Linked DNA regions of Pelodiscus sinensis. The protein of the gene in region 2 purifies or fractionates together with the protein of the main gene of each other region. This does not show direct contact. Links are inferred from orthologs where the notes say so. Each region holds a gene or a part of one and is shown on either strand. Other genes may lie near its edges.

Region 1 (7,544 bases), on a different chromosome or scaffold from region 2:
AGTCTCAGATGGTTCCCCCCCCCCCCCCCCCCGTAGTGTCTAGATACATTCCACATCTTGGCCCACTGCCTCCATTGTTACTGGAACCCATTGAAGAAAAGGAGACTGGAGAAGAACCTCTAGATACTCCCTCTGCCCCAATATCTCTTCTTCCTTAAATGAGGTTATCACTTCAGAGTCAGCATTGTGTCCTTCTGATGACTTTTAAAGTTTTTCAAGAACTCCATTAGGAGACTAGCCTCATCCTTGATGATAAAAAGAGAACTTGTGCAAGACAGTTTGTGCAGACTGTTGATTTGGATTGCCCTTGCCATTAATAAAGCCTCACTGGAACCTCTGAAGACCTTTTAGCAGACAACTTGCTGTAGCCCACCCATTGCCAAACAGACAGGCTTTGTGTTCCTCAACAAGACTTCAGGTATTTCTTTAACTGTCCCATTACAGACTCAATGATCACAGCAGCAGATGAATGTTTGAGGCAACTTCAACCCAATAGGAGACTGGATCTTTGTGGGAAGAAGGCATATATGATTGTGAGCCTTCAAATGAGTGTGTCAAATTATTTGTCACTGTCTAAATATACTTTATTAACTTATCAGCAATTTCAAAAATTTTGGTCAAACTGCCCGAGCAATTCTTGACCGTAGTTTTGTAATGTCATCTCATGACTTGTACATCTCTCCATCTAAGCTATGTCTACACAACAAAGTTTTTGCGCAAAACCAGCTATTTTTGCACAGAAACCAGCAGAGTATCCACACCTGAAGTGCATTTTTTGCACAAGAAAATCAACGGAACAGAGGGCTTTTGCTTCCACGAGGAATAACTCCTTTTTGCGCTACATCTCTTTTGCAAAAAGGCAGGTGTGGACCCCTATGGGAAAAAGCACACGTGCTCTGATGGCCATTCTGTGAATGGTCATCAGAACTTTCTTGCGCAAGAGTGTCTATGCAGTGTGGATGCTCTCCCGAGCAAAAGCACATCACTTTTGTGATGCGCTTTGATGTCTGGACATGTTTTTGCACAAGAAGTTTTTGCTGAAGACCTCTTCCACAAAAGGCTTTTTGCGTGAAAACCCTGCAGTGTAGTCAAAGCCCTAGCGATTTATGCATCAGACAGAGTAAGACATAGGGGCATAGGTGGTCTGGCTTAATGGTTACAGCTGGGTGGGTGTCCTCAAGTCAAGGACAGCCACAAGATGGCGGTCAGCAAGCAGGGACTGCAGTAATTACTAGAGCTGGAATTAATAGGCAGGAGTCCGGTTAAGAGTCAGCTTGGGTCAGAGATCAGAAATGGTGGTCATGACACTGGAATTGGGAGTCGGGGTCAGAGTTGTAGGAGTTAGAGACTGGAGATCGGAAAACAAGGTGAAGCCTTGAGTTGCACCTGGTCAGAAATCTGTGTGACTTCCTGACAACTTCCTAGGACACTCTCCATGGTTAAATAGTGAGCATGAGCCAGTCAGAAGTCTGCAGGATGCTCTTACTCTGGACCTTTTATGGGATATGTCTCATGGTGCCTAATCTCTACAGGGCTGATTGTATATGGCTCTGCATGGTCTCCCTGTATTTGTGTGAGAACACCAGCTGTAATAGACTTCACAGACCTTGGTTCTAGCCCAGGAGTGGGAAAAATCTGTCTCATGGGCTGGCTTCAGCCAGGCACCATCTTGTAGCTTGGCAGGCCCCTCAGGTAGGCTCCCTGCCCCCATATGCCGCTCAGGGTGGCTGGCTGCAGGAGCCATATGCTCTCTGTGTAACATGAGCCAGGGAAGGGGGGAGGGGCCCTCGCACATTGCCTGCACCACAAGTATGGCCCAGGCAGCTCCCATTAGCCAGTTTTTGACCAATGGGAGCTGCAAGATTGTGCTCGGGACAGGAGCAGTGCGCAGGTCCTTTGCTCCCCCTCGGTGCTTACAGCATTCAGAGAGCACATGACCCCCACAGCCAACCACTTCGAGCAGCATGCAGGGGTACAGAAGGCAAGGAGCCTGAGAGTCCCACTGGGATGCTTGCCAGGAGCTGCCTAGGTAAGTGCCTCCTGGCCAGAGCCTGTATCTGACTCCTTAGACCCTCTGCTCCCCCTCCTTCACTCCATTCCCCAGTCCAGATCACAACCCCCTTCTAGACCCTGCAACCTCTCCTGCACGTCTCAATGTCAGAATCTTCTACCCCCTATCCCGAGTTCCTTTCTGCACCCAAGTACTGCCTCCATTAGTGTCATGGAAAAATGTGGCCCTTGACCACTTACCAAATTCTTGAAGTGCCCCCCCCAATCAAAAATTATTGCCCGCCTCTGTTCTAGTCCCATTGATCTTCATAGTTGGCTATAGCCATTTCTATGAAACATTCTTCTTGGTATCAGGCCTCCAGTATTCAAAAAGAGCTTCAAAATACAGGGGAAGTTTTACCATTTGAGGATACTAAACTGTTCTCCCAGAACACCAACTCTTGCGGAGCTCTTTGTTTGCTTGGTGTGTACATCCTAGTGCAGAGTGTCCCCACTATATGTCCAAGATACTTTTAAAAAAAGTGGATGTATAGTGAAAGGACATAGAGCAGGGAATTTTTTCCCCATGCTTGACTTCTGTTTGCGTGATTGGGTTTGGGTTTTTTGTGCAACGGAAGAGCGGGGAATGGGAGCACTGAAAATGAAACCGTTCCCACAAGCATCAACAAAGCTAATGCGGAACCAACATATACCAGGGTGACTTATAGCAGAGATGCCCTATAACAAAAAGTAAGCAGTGTAAGTCCCAAAAGCAGTATAAACCCTATTATCAGCAGAAGCCTCTAGATGGAGTTCTAAGTTTTCTATGCATCATCCACCAGCATTATCTCTAACAGGCTTTCTCTACACAAGATGTCAGTGATTTTTGAAACCAACTTAAAAGCTGAGATCTTTATTGGCCCACATCTGGGCAGAACTTATAGTATTAGTGTCAGTAAAAACACGGATTCCGTTTTCCTTAAAGCAAAGCTTTGTATTCTTTCAAAGATGTTTTTCATTTGAAAGAATCACAGGCAGGCAACAAAAGGCTATGCAAAAGGCTAATAAGTCCTAGGTCCCCAAGCAGAAGCCCTCACTAGCTCCTGGGCTAGTATCCTAAATGGCAAACAAAGCAGCTGTGGGCTTCTGTTTCTTCTGAAACACTTCATCTGTCAGGTATTTCCTAGGACAGAGTGGTAGCTACCCTGAAGCCCTCTAGCTCAAACTTACCTGATACAAGGGTGTTGGTTGATCTGGGGCTTCTTGTTTTATCATGTCACCAGTCTCTTTTTAAATGTTAAATTGTATGGAGAATGAGCATAGGATATTTTCCCATACTTGTATCCTTTTTCAAAGGAGTCACATGTTCCTGAAATATGCCACACTGGCATTTCATAACTTGTTTCTCTGATGTGTTTGGAAGGGACAGTAGGGATAGATTGACATTTACTTTCTCATCAATCATTCACCTGAGCTCTAGCTGTTGTGCTGTCTTAGAATGTCATTTGACCCTGAACTGTCTCCTCTAAGGTCACCATTTACATGTTTTTATGAGATATGTTTGGTGAACATGACAGTCCATGATGTCCATAGTTCTCTGAGAAGTACAAATACACACACGGCCCTTGATTAAACATCCAGAGTACATAGTTGTACTAGCGTTCAAGTGTACTATCAGTACTCTCAGTAAATTTCCATATATCCTGTCTGAGGCAGAGAATCCTGCTCCCAGAATCCTCAAGTAAATTGAGATTTGCCAGCCTTGAGTCAACCACAGCAATTCATAATACCCAGCACCATCCCAACAGTCCCTTCTCAATATCCAGTTACTAACAGTGATTTTGATATTACAACAACAACACCAATTATACCTATTATTTTTGGGCCATGTGTCTCCTTTTTAAGTTAAAATGACATTTTGCAGTCTTCAGTTGTATAATTTGGCAATTAAATTTTTAAAGGGTCCCTGTAACGTTTGCTTTTTCTTATACTGTTTACATATTTGATGCACAGGAAAAACAACACTGTTATTCCAGGAGTCAAAAATACAATTATCCATTGATTCCCACACCACTCATTACATGACACAAAGTGTCATACTGGGTACTTATTTGAGAATCTATATCTTTTACAGCTTTTTCAATCATCTTGTATTTTCAAGCAAGTGCACTTTTTATACTTATTAGAAGATTTGTTGTCTGTTCTGATTTAGTGTTCGCACGTATGTTGTATTTCCATGTCTTAATCTTTATCATTTCCTCTATTTCCTCTAAATTTGGTAGCATCTATCTGGGTTGAGGTATATGCTTTTATTACCTGGGGTGTCATTGGTAAATTTATATTGGAAGTTAATTATTTTCCCCCTGCATACACCACATTCCTCATTCCAGGTACCAATGCTGCCTTTGCAAGATCTTGAAGATCAAATGGGAAGACAGGCACACTAATCTCAGTGTTTTGGAAGAGGTAAAGACCACCACTACTGAGGCAATAATCATCCGTCAGCAACTTTCAAAACAGGTCCTGTTTTCTCAGCTGAAAGAAGGATACTGTAATGTGCAGGGCTTAATGAACCGCGGTGAAAGCCGCTTGCCAGCCCCGCACTGCGCATGTGTAAGAGCCGCATTTTGCATGCACGCGTTGCCGGTAAATGGGGCACTGGGCTGAAATCTACTCTCCAAGGGGCTTTCTCCTTTGATTAAACTCTACTGTTTTCAGCACTGCAGTAAACCTGTTCATGGAACTGAGTTTACAGATCAACATACAAAAATCAATCTTTTCCTCTGTATGGCCAACCTCAGCTTGATAAAGGCCAGAGCATCCCATGCTGCAACACAGGTTCCACACCTTGGCCATGCTTATAGAGACAGCCCTCAAATATCAGCCAAATGCTGCTTCCGTCTAGGGCACATGGCAACAGGCACAGATGTGATACCTCATTCCAGACTTCAACTGCAGTGCCCCCAGATGTGATTCAGCTCAGTCTAAAGACTGACTAGACATAGATTAGACTGCCACTACCCACTAAGGGTGTGTCTAGACTACATGCCTCCTTCGACGGAGGCATGTAGATTAGCCAGATCGGAAGAGGGAAATGGTTTCACGAGGCTTACCTGTGTCGATGAAGAAAGGCTTCTTTGTCGGGGCATCGCGTCCAGACTCCCCCGATCTGCCGACAAACAGCTGATCGGCAGATCGGGGCAGCCATTTAAATTTAAATGAAGCCGCGATTATTTTAATCGCGGCTTCATTTCCCTCTTCCGATCTGGCTAATCTACATGCCTCCGTCGAAGGAGGCATGTAGTCTAGACACACCCTAAGATAAAAAACTCTAGACTGGTGGAAAAATCCAATGAACATTTGCAAGATGATTCCCTTTCCTCAGACTTCTCTGATGTTACCACCAAAATCATGCCTCGTAGTTTGGCTGTGCACTCCATCCAAACTAAAAACACTGAGCAAATGGTTAGCCCCAAAAATGTTCTTCCATATGGACCTCCTTGAATTCAGGGCAGTCAGAAATACCTATATCCATCATCCCACTGACCAAGGAACACACACAATAACCTTAACAGACAACATAGGACAGGACAAGGAGTAATGGGCTTAAAGTGCAGCAGGGGAGGTTTAGATTGGACATTAGGAAAAAATTCCTAACTGTAAGGGTGGTCAAATATTGGAATAAACTGCCAAGGGAGGTGGTGGAATCTCCCTCTCTGGAGATATTTAAGAACAGGTTAGATAGACATCTGTCAGGGATGGTGTAGATGGAGCTTGGTCCTGCCTTGAGAGCGGGGGGCTGGACTCGATGACCTCTTGAGGTCCCTTCCAGTCCTATTATTCTATGATTCTATGATAGCATGCATAAATTGGCAGGGAGGAACCAGGTGCTCTCTCTACTCAGAAGTACTAAAGTTATAAAACTGGTGCAGTTCCCACATCTACCTTCTGGGAGTACAAAACTCAATGGACAGTTGCAATTGCAAATTCCCCCATGATCATGAATAGAAGTTAAACCCAGCAGTGCTTCATGACCTATTTAGGCAGTGGGGGGCACCAAGTGCAGGAATGTTTGCCACTTACCTGAACAAGAAATGCCAACACTACTGCTGCGGAGCAGAAATAGGGGAATGCTTGGGAAATGCTCTTTTTTCCCCATGAGACAGGGACCTTTTCTATGCCTTACCCCAGTTTCCCCTGCTCTCAGGAGTCCTATTAAAAGTAATTATACATCATACTGATTGCTTCCACCTGTATAAAACAGATTTGATATCCTCACCTAGCATGCTCAATCTCTCTTCAGCCCACTCCATCTGTTGCAGAACAAAGGATGCACTCTACATCCCAAGCTGAGGATACTTTTCCATCAAGCTCTTTTATTCTGGATCATAGAAAGCTCCTGCTGAAGGGAGACGCAAGAAGTATTCCTACACAGTAGAAGATCCACTACATGTCATTCTTGTATACTCAGGTTTGGTGTATTTCACAACAAATTTCCCCAACATACACTGCTCTGCCAGTGGACCTAGACTATGTACTAATTCTCAGAAATTCAGGGTTCACTCAGAGCTCACCTAGCAGCAGTAGCAACTTTCATCAACAAGTTGTGGGATTCTCAATGCTCTCATGCCAACCACAAAACAGTTGTATAGTATAGGAAATCTTTTTATATAGGAGTATAGTAAATCTTTTCTCCCAATCCTGCCATCCCACTCCTACATGGGAACTAAGTCTAGTGTTGAAAGGCCTGACTAGACTTCCCTTTGAGCCTGTGACTATTTGTTTGCTCCCAAATCTGTCAATGAGAGTGGCCATCCTGGAAGGAGAATAGGGGAAATAGCAGCTCTGATGGCACATTCCCTCATACAATATTCTTTCCAGACACGGTCACACTCGGATCACATCTGCAGTTCACCCCCAAGGTGACCTGTTGTTTTCACAGAAATCAACTGAACCTTCACACAAACCTTCTTACCTTCTACTCTAGCCTCACTGTGATAACAGGGAGTCTGAACTACTACACACTAGATGTTATGAGAGCCTGAACCCTTTTACTTGGATAGACCAGAGGCATTTAGAAAGTCTCCCAAGCGTTTTATTTCTATGGCAGAGAGATCCAAGGTCTCAGTAGTATCAACTTAGGGACTCTCCAAATGGCTCTAAAACGGTATTAAAATATGCTGTCAGGTTTGCAACATAACACCTCTATCCAATATTCACACTCACTCCATGAGGTTGGTCTGCTTCTCAGTTGCTGCTGAACTGGCAACATAGTTGTGTTTCCATATATATGCAGAATATTATACAATTACTGGAGAATCGGCTTCTGATGCCATCTTTGGTTCCACAGTATTTTCACCCGTAACTGACTCAAGTAGAAGCCCCTGCCCACCATTGAGGATACAGCTCAAGCGTCACCTGCACTGAAACACCCCATAGAGAGGCTACTTGAAGAAGAAGAGTTGCTCACCTTACGTAGTAATGATGTTTTTTTGAGATGTGTCCTCTTGTGGGTTCTCCACAACCCACCCTCCTCCTCTCTACTTTGGAGTTCT
Region 2 (7,642 bases):
GGGGTAGTTCCACTATTTGATCTGAGGAAGTGGGTCTGGCCCACGAAAGCTCATCATCTAATAAACCATCTTGTTAGTCTTTAAAGTGCTACATTGTCCTGCATTTTGCTTCAACTACCCCAGACTAACACGGCTACATTTCTATCACTATTCCAATCAGTATAGACGTTCTATTTTGAAACAGCACTATTTTGATGGGCATCTGTAGTGTGGACATGCTATTTCAAAATAAACTTTTTCAGAGGATTTTTCCTTGCTGAAATAGCTTATTTTGAAATAAGCATGCAGTGTAGACGTAGCCTATGACTCCAGTTCTGCAGGTGGCTGAGTGAGTAGATGTTTATGGTGTGTTTGGATAAATTATTTTGTTGATGAATAGCAGAGCAATTCCTCTGTTGAATTAAGGTATGACTTTCTGGCACACCAGGTAAAAGTATTTATTGCCCTGGGGAACTGCATTAATTTGTAATTATGTATTTCCTGTCTTTGGAATTACAGGCAGTCCCCGGGTTACGTACAAGATAGGGACTGTAGGTTTGTTCTTAAGTTGAATTTGTATGTAAGTCGGAACTCGTACATATTGTAGGGGAAACTCTAGCCAAACATTTCTCCAGAGCTCAGTTTTATTCTCCCACACCTCACTTCCCTCAGTCCTTTATTCTCAAGCTGAGGTATCTGCTGAGAAAAGCCACTCCGCGACTCCCTGGTCTGGTGGTGGTGGTGGTGGGGGGGGGTGCTAGCTTCGCGTCTCCCTGGTCTGCTGGGGGGAAGCAGCTAGTGTGGGGTTGCCTCACCCCGTTTGTAAGTAGGGATCCGATGTAAGTCGGATCCATGTAACCCGGGGGCTGCCTGTATTTTACACACAGCTTTTTTTTCTGTATTTGAAATTACAATACCTGTTCTCTATATCGTTATTCTTTCCTGTTTATACATAGAACTCTGTTCTGTGTAAGAGTCTCCACTGTTTTCTCATGGAAAATGAATTAATGGATTGACGAAAAAGCATTTTAAACTAAAAATTAGTCTGCATTTAAATGCCCCTTTTCATAATGAAATCTTTGGTAAATACTTTTATTTATAATACACTTATTCTGAACTTGTATTTAAAAAGAACTAAATTTGATTTAAAAAGAACTTCAGAACATTTTGGCCCTGTTTCCCCCAATCTCCTTTGGAAAAGTTTGGGAAGCAGAAGAGTTAGATGGGAGACTGAATATCAGAAATCCATTCTAAATCTTGGGCTTGACCATTATTCATGTATGAATGTGGGCAAGTTATTTAACTGCTCTGAGACTCGGATTCCCGTCTTTAAAAAATAGAGCTCTGGCCATACCTACCTTAGAGGGATGGCATAAGGCATTAATAAATTAATATTTCTGAAATATTTTGAGACAGTAACAATACCTAGTGCAAACATGCACAAATAATTCCCTAGAAACAAATCTTCTAATAGTGTGCATGCACACTAGCTGAAGATACATATGCACACTATTTGAAAAACAAGGAACTTGAATATTCGTGGTTGGCAGTAAGAGTGGAATACAGGGCTGCTCTCAAGCAGTGAGTGACAATATTGAATGAGTAAGACTTCAAGCGAGGGGGTGAGTTAGACTGGAAATGTCTCAAAGCAAAATATTCTTCCTCACAAGAAAGAGATACTTCAGTAAAATCCATTCAGAAATGAAGGCACCTCCCTGCATTTGTAAACGGAGCACGACTTCTCCAGTGAGGGCTGTGAAGAGTTAAATCAGACAGTTCCTAAGTGTTGTAGTCTATCCTCTTCTCTTCCCCACCCTGTTTTTTTCCTTTCTGTTCGCTCTCTCTCCTTCTAGTTTTGGCAGGGGATTAAAGTAGCTCCCCCCTGTGGCAGCAGTGACCCAGAAATGAGTTTGATTCACAGAGTCCTTCCTCCATAACAAGTAAAAACGTCAGTCAGTCTGTATGTGTGTGTGTGTGTGTGTGTGTGTGTGTGTGTGTGTGTGTGAAGGGAGCCACAATCTGCTCCCACTCTCCAGTGCTTGTCTGAACTCATGAGGCAGCACAGACCCCTTCGCGCAGAGAAACTCCAACCTCACTGGCAACCATCGCGGCAGCAGGAGCAGGTAACTGTGTCCAGATTCTGACTCTCCTCCACGCCGCCGCCGCAGAGTGAGCCGGGGGAACAGCCAGCACAGCCATATTTGATGGGTTTTTGTTGCTTTGCTTTGGAGTTCTCCAGAAGCAGCTAGAGAGCAATTTAATGCCGAAGGTCGCTGCCTAGTGGAAATAATATAGTACGTCATTAATATGGCGCCAAAAGATTTGCTTCTTGATATGGAGCGAGGGGAGGCAGTTGAGTTGCAGCTTCACTATCCCACAAGCAACTTGTGCATTGCTGGGGAGGGAGGGAGCGGTGGGAGGAGGAAATAGATGATTATTTTGCAGCTTTGAGAAACGATGTGATGTAAGGAGTGTTCTGCTAGCTGGTTTTCATTTTGCTGCAGACTTTGCAATGGCAAATAAGGCTCTTGCAGCTTTCAAGGTGCACCAGCTAAATCAACACAATACTGCACTGAGGGTTTTTAAAATTTGTATATGTATTTGACTTTGCTGTAGTTTTTTAAAAAAGAGAGTGGGGACGCGGGTATCTGAATTAATCAATGCTGGGTCAGCCTAGTTTAAAAGTAAAAAGCGTTGGATCAAGTTGGTAGACAGATGGCAATTGCAAAGCGCAGGTCCTTTTAGATATAGACGCTATAGAAAGGGGGAGGGGTGGTCGTAGTCAGAATCTGTCACCGTGTCGCCCACATGTCCAAAATATCCGTTGCATCAATTCAAGGGCAGTAAGGGTGTGTGTTATGTGCAGGCAGCTTTGCAATTACATTCATGCAAATTGTGTTTGGATTTCACTTGCTGTAGTTAAAAAAAAAATGCTCGCAAAGTATAAAAACCGTTCACCGGAGAAAATAGGCAGAAGTTTCCTATTGGGGTAGGAGAGTGTTGGCCGGTTAGTCCTGAACTAGACGCGATTGTGATTTTAGGCACTAATGGACATGTGTGGAGGGGGAGGCTTTTAGTACACTGCTATAGTAGAGCCGTTTATTTTCAACTGAGTCCGAGTGTACAGTAGCTCCTGCTGGAGAGCAAGTTGTAACAGCCCTGAAGTGCACGTGTTGGGAGAGTGTGAGTGTACGGAGGGAAGGGGTGTGTTGTGTGTGTCTGAGGGAGGAGGGGGCGGTTGTTTGGCTGCTCGGGCTCTGCTGGGTGGCAGCAGCTTCTGTGCCGCTGGCGAGAGCGATGAATGCGGGCCAGGGCCGGAATGTGGAATGTTGACCCCAGATTCGAATCCCTTCGGAACGGTCTCACTGGCTGCGGAGATTGTCCCCCCCCCCCCCCCCGCGGGAGGGAGGCGGGGTTTGCTTCATCGGGCGCCTCCGGGCTGGGTGTGGGAGGGGGGACGGGAAGGGGCAGAAGGAAGCAGGTGCACGGAGGCAACAAGAACCGGCCGGGAGGCTTAGGAACCTCCCCATCCAAAGCGATGCTCCCCAGCCCCCTCCCGCTGGGGGCCGGCGAGTTGAGATCCGTGCGGGGTTCCACGGCCCAAGCAAACACGTGCGGGTGCTCGAGAGGAACTTCTGCGAGCCATGTTTTGTTCCTTAAGAGACCGAGGGCTAAATTCTGCCCACAACTACCCCGTGCAATCGCACCGAGACAGCAGTGCCCACTTGCGCTGTGAGGAGCTGGCAATTGAGTAACGTAGGTCCTATTATGGGCACTGTCGGATTAAATCATTGGGGTGGCACATTAATTTCCCAAGTACTACGGTGATGGATAATCAATACAATGAGTGGCAATAGGGTTTACGGATGAAGTTCTTAAATCTCCTAAATGATGCTGACATGCACTTATGATGATATACGAATGAAACCAGGGGGTGGTGCAAAATGTCTGAGGGATTGCACAGGTGTAAGGGAGACTTTGGCTCTTAATATCCCCCCCTCTTCCTTTACCAAGGTCTTTACAAGGAAAATGGGACTAGGTTATGGTCTTTTCAAATAACCGCATCATTTCGCTCTAACGGGCTATCCTTGGCGTCCCCAGAGGAGAAGGCAAGAGTGCAGCGCAGGCGATTATTCCAGTTGCTGAAATTAGACAAAGCCGCCCTGCTGCACTCGTATCCCTGGACTCTGCTCGTTACATGCTCAGATTTTGCAGATTGTCAGGCTTCGGGTCTTGATTTTTTTCTTGCCAGTGTTCATTAGCGCCAGCATTCATTAGCAGTTTATGGCGCGGATTTTATTATTTTGACGAGGGTGGTGGTAGGAGATGTGTGTTTGTTTGCACCGCCTGCTGGATGGTTTCCTATGACAAGAGGTGATACACAGTTTCCAGAACTGTCTGGGAGTGGGAGGAGAGACCGACAGAAAGCAACCTCAAGTCTTAGTGCTGCTGCTATTCAATCCTAGTCTAAACCGTCCCCCATCTCACCCTCCCCAGACATTGCAACATGGAGAGCGGGGGGTGGAGATGGGGAGGGTTGCTTGGCCGTAGAAATGATATGGATTTGGGAGCTGAGCTGAGGGCATCAAGTTTGATTTGCAGCTGAGGCTGAGCGGATTGGTGCATCTGGTGGGAGGGGAGGAGCACAGGAGGAGGGTAGGCGGGGGAGATCTGGTCAGTTTCAAATGGAGACAGACGGGGAGGTGTACGTAAAATGGGATTTTTGCCTGCTGTGCAAAAGGTGCCATAATCGCAAAAAGGGGTTAGTCCGGCGACAGCAGCGCAGCTGGGGGCAGGAGTTAAGTGTGATACTTGTTCCTTCCCGGCTTCTCCACCTCTCTCCTCAGTCTTTGTTCGTGTCTGATGCCTCCGGACCTCTCAGTACGAGCAGCTTCAGCGGCGGCGCTGCGAGCCCTCGGCACCGGTATTGCTAAGGCTGGCGATAAATGAGCCCTGTGTTGTGTGGATCGGAAAAACTGGGCGGGTTTAAGAGACATGACTACCTCTTAGCACTGCTGTCTCAGCATGCTGGGGAGCTAGGAGTGGGAACATATATTTGAACCAGGAGGATCTGAAAAATAGAGAGTCCGAGATTTAAAGAATACAAGTAACAAAAATGCTTATTTACCTGAAAAACAGACTTTAAGCATGGCCTTAAAATAAGCCTCCCAAATGAGGAAGCCTTTCAGTAAGGAAAGCAGTTCTAGCTTTCCAGTTCATTATTGCAGCAGTGACTACTTGTTTTGATCAATATGCAAATTAACAATAGTAGGTGATTTTTTTTTTAGAATTATTTAGTTTTCAAGAGCACTTTGAGAATTAAGGTGTTGGTATGGGATAGGTGGTTTGGAACAAATTGATAAATTAAACAAGCAATAAGTTATGGGAGGAGATGGTATTCACCCAACAGTCCTGAAGGAACTGGGTATGAAATTGCAGAACTATTATTTGTAAGATGTAACCTGTTAAATCAGTCTCTACCAGATGATTGGAGGCTAGCCAATATATTGTTGATTAAAACAATTTTTTTGTGATGATCCTGGTAATTAGAGAGCAGGAAGGCTAACTTATGTACCAGGCAAATCAGTTGAAATCAGAGTAAAGTTGATCAGACACACAGGTGAACTGGGTATATTGATTAGGAATCAACAGGGCTTTCCTAAATTATAAGGAATGATTTGTCATCTATTAGAACTTTCCCCAATTATTAGCTATGTACAAGCATGTGGACAAAGGCCATACAGTTATATAGAGTACCTGGGTTTTTACAAATACTAACAAACTAAGTAGTCCATAGGATGAGAGGGAAGGACATCTCATGGATCAGAACGTGGTTAAAAATAGGAAACAAAGGGGTAGGAATATTAATTGTTAGCGCAGTAGAGAGAGAGATAAATAGTGGGGCCTTCCAAAGATATGTATTTGAACCTGTTCTGTCATCATATTCGTTAATGTATTGGAAAAAAGGAGATGAGAAGTGAGGTGACAAAATTTGCAGATGATGCAAACATTTCAAAGCTGACTGCAAAGAGTTACCAAAGGATTTTACTAACCTGAGTGATAAGATGGCAGATTTATATGCAACTTTGTGTATTTTGAAAGCTTGTATCTCTCATCATCAGAAGTTGGTTCAATAAAAGATATTACCTCACCCACCTTATCTCTGTGAAATTGCAGCTGAAATTCACTGTTAGTAAATGGAAAGTAAAGCACATTGGAAAAAATCATCTCAGTGAGATACACAAAATGATGGCATTTAAATTAGCTGTTACTACTGAAAGAAAGAGATCTTGAAGTCATTGTAAATAGCTTTATGAAAACATTCAGTCAGTGTGCAGTAGCAGCCAGTAACGGGGGAAAAATGTTACAGAAAATATTGTAATGACACCAACTGAATCTGTGGTACACTAATATCTTGAATATGGTGTGGAGTTCTGGTTGCCCCTTCTAAAAGATATTTGTTAGAAATGGTGAAGGTATAGAGAAGGACAACAAAAATGATTGAGATATTGAAATAGCTTCCATAGAAAGAGATCTTGATATGGACTGGGGACTGTTCATCTTAGAAAAGAGATGACTGAGGGGTGACATGAATGGTGTGGAGAAAGCAAGAAACGAGTGTTGCTCACTCTTTCCATGCAACACAAAAACCAGGGGTCACCAGATGAAACAAGGCCACAAGTTTAAAACAAACACAAGGAAATAATTCTTCACACAATGCACTGTCAACCTGTGGAACTTGTTTCCAGGCTATGTTATAAAGGCCAAAGCTGTAACAGGGTTAAAAAAGGAATTACATATGTTCATGGAGGACAGGCCCATCAGTGCTTATTAGCCTAAATGGCCAGGGATTCAGTCCCATGCTCTACATATTCCTGAATCTCCAACTGCCAGAAGCTGGACATGGATGACAGGCTAGATAAGTTGATAATTGTCAGGTTTTGTTCATTCTCTCTGAAGCACCTGGTATTGGCCATTGTCAATAGACAGTACGCTGGGCCAGATGGACCTTTGGTCTGAACTAGTGTTGCCTTTTTATGGGAATAAATATACCTATGATTAATTCTTCATCTGCAGGCCCTTTCTTAGTAATAATTCTTCTAATAAAAATGATTGTAATGCCAGCAAACGGAATCTATGCTAGATTTTCAGACTTGTCACTCATCAAATAATAATGGGCCATGCCTTGACATAAATGATTAGTTTATGTAGCCACGTGAAAGTTTTAAGCATAGATATCTGCCCTTTTGGGGAGTTGTTACATTAGAAGCTATGGTAATTGTACAGCAAACTACCAACAGTTGTTTTCTGTTCATTTTTAATTTTAACTTTTATTTTAAATAAAAGCTAAAACAGCCTATTTGGCACATCCATTTCCAAATAAAGAGATTTTACTGTGTTTTAGATTAACTCTTTTGCAAGTAGTTCTTCTTTTGTAAATAAGCATGCTTGCAAACATAAGACCTTAATAAACATTACACTAAAATATGTTTGGTACGATTCTGTTTCTAGAGCTTTTCATACTCAGTGGAATATTCTCTCCAAATTGCAAGAGTGTGCATTTTAGTGACAGGATTCTCCCTGAAGAAGCAGATTCTCCACCACTGCTGATTTGAAGCTATGTTTCATATATATGTCTCCAATAAAATAATAGCTGTAAATT

Evidence for each region. Proteins that work in one complex are often made in the same cells at the same time.
Region 1: the proteins of JADE1 (region 2) and ING4 purify together in Homo sapiens (affinity purification with mass spectrometry; 4 studies listed by BioGRID and IntAct, with this or other methods). This does not show direct contact. The link is inferred for Pelodiscus sinensis from reciprocal best matches to the Homo sapiens genes JADE1 and ING4.

The regions. Positions count from the first base shown.
Region 1 is NC_134711.1:138,605,964-138,613,507, forward strand, and holds the start of ING4 (inhibitor of growth protein 4), read left to right. Parts: upstream 1-4,542; 5' UTR 4,543-4,557; coding exon 4,558-4,602; intron 4,603-7,544.
Region 2 is NC_134715.1:50,834,088-50,841,729, reverse strand, and holds the start of JADE1 (protein Jade-1), read left to right. Parts: upstream 1-4,642; 5' UTR 4,643-4,842; coding exon 4,843-4,903; intron 4,904-7,642.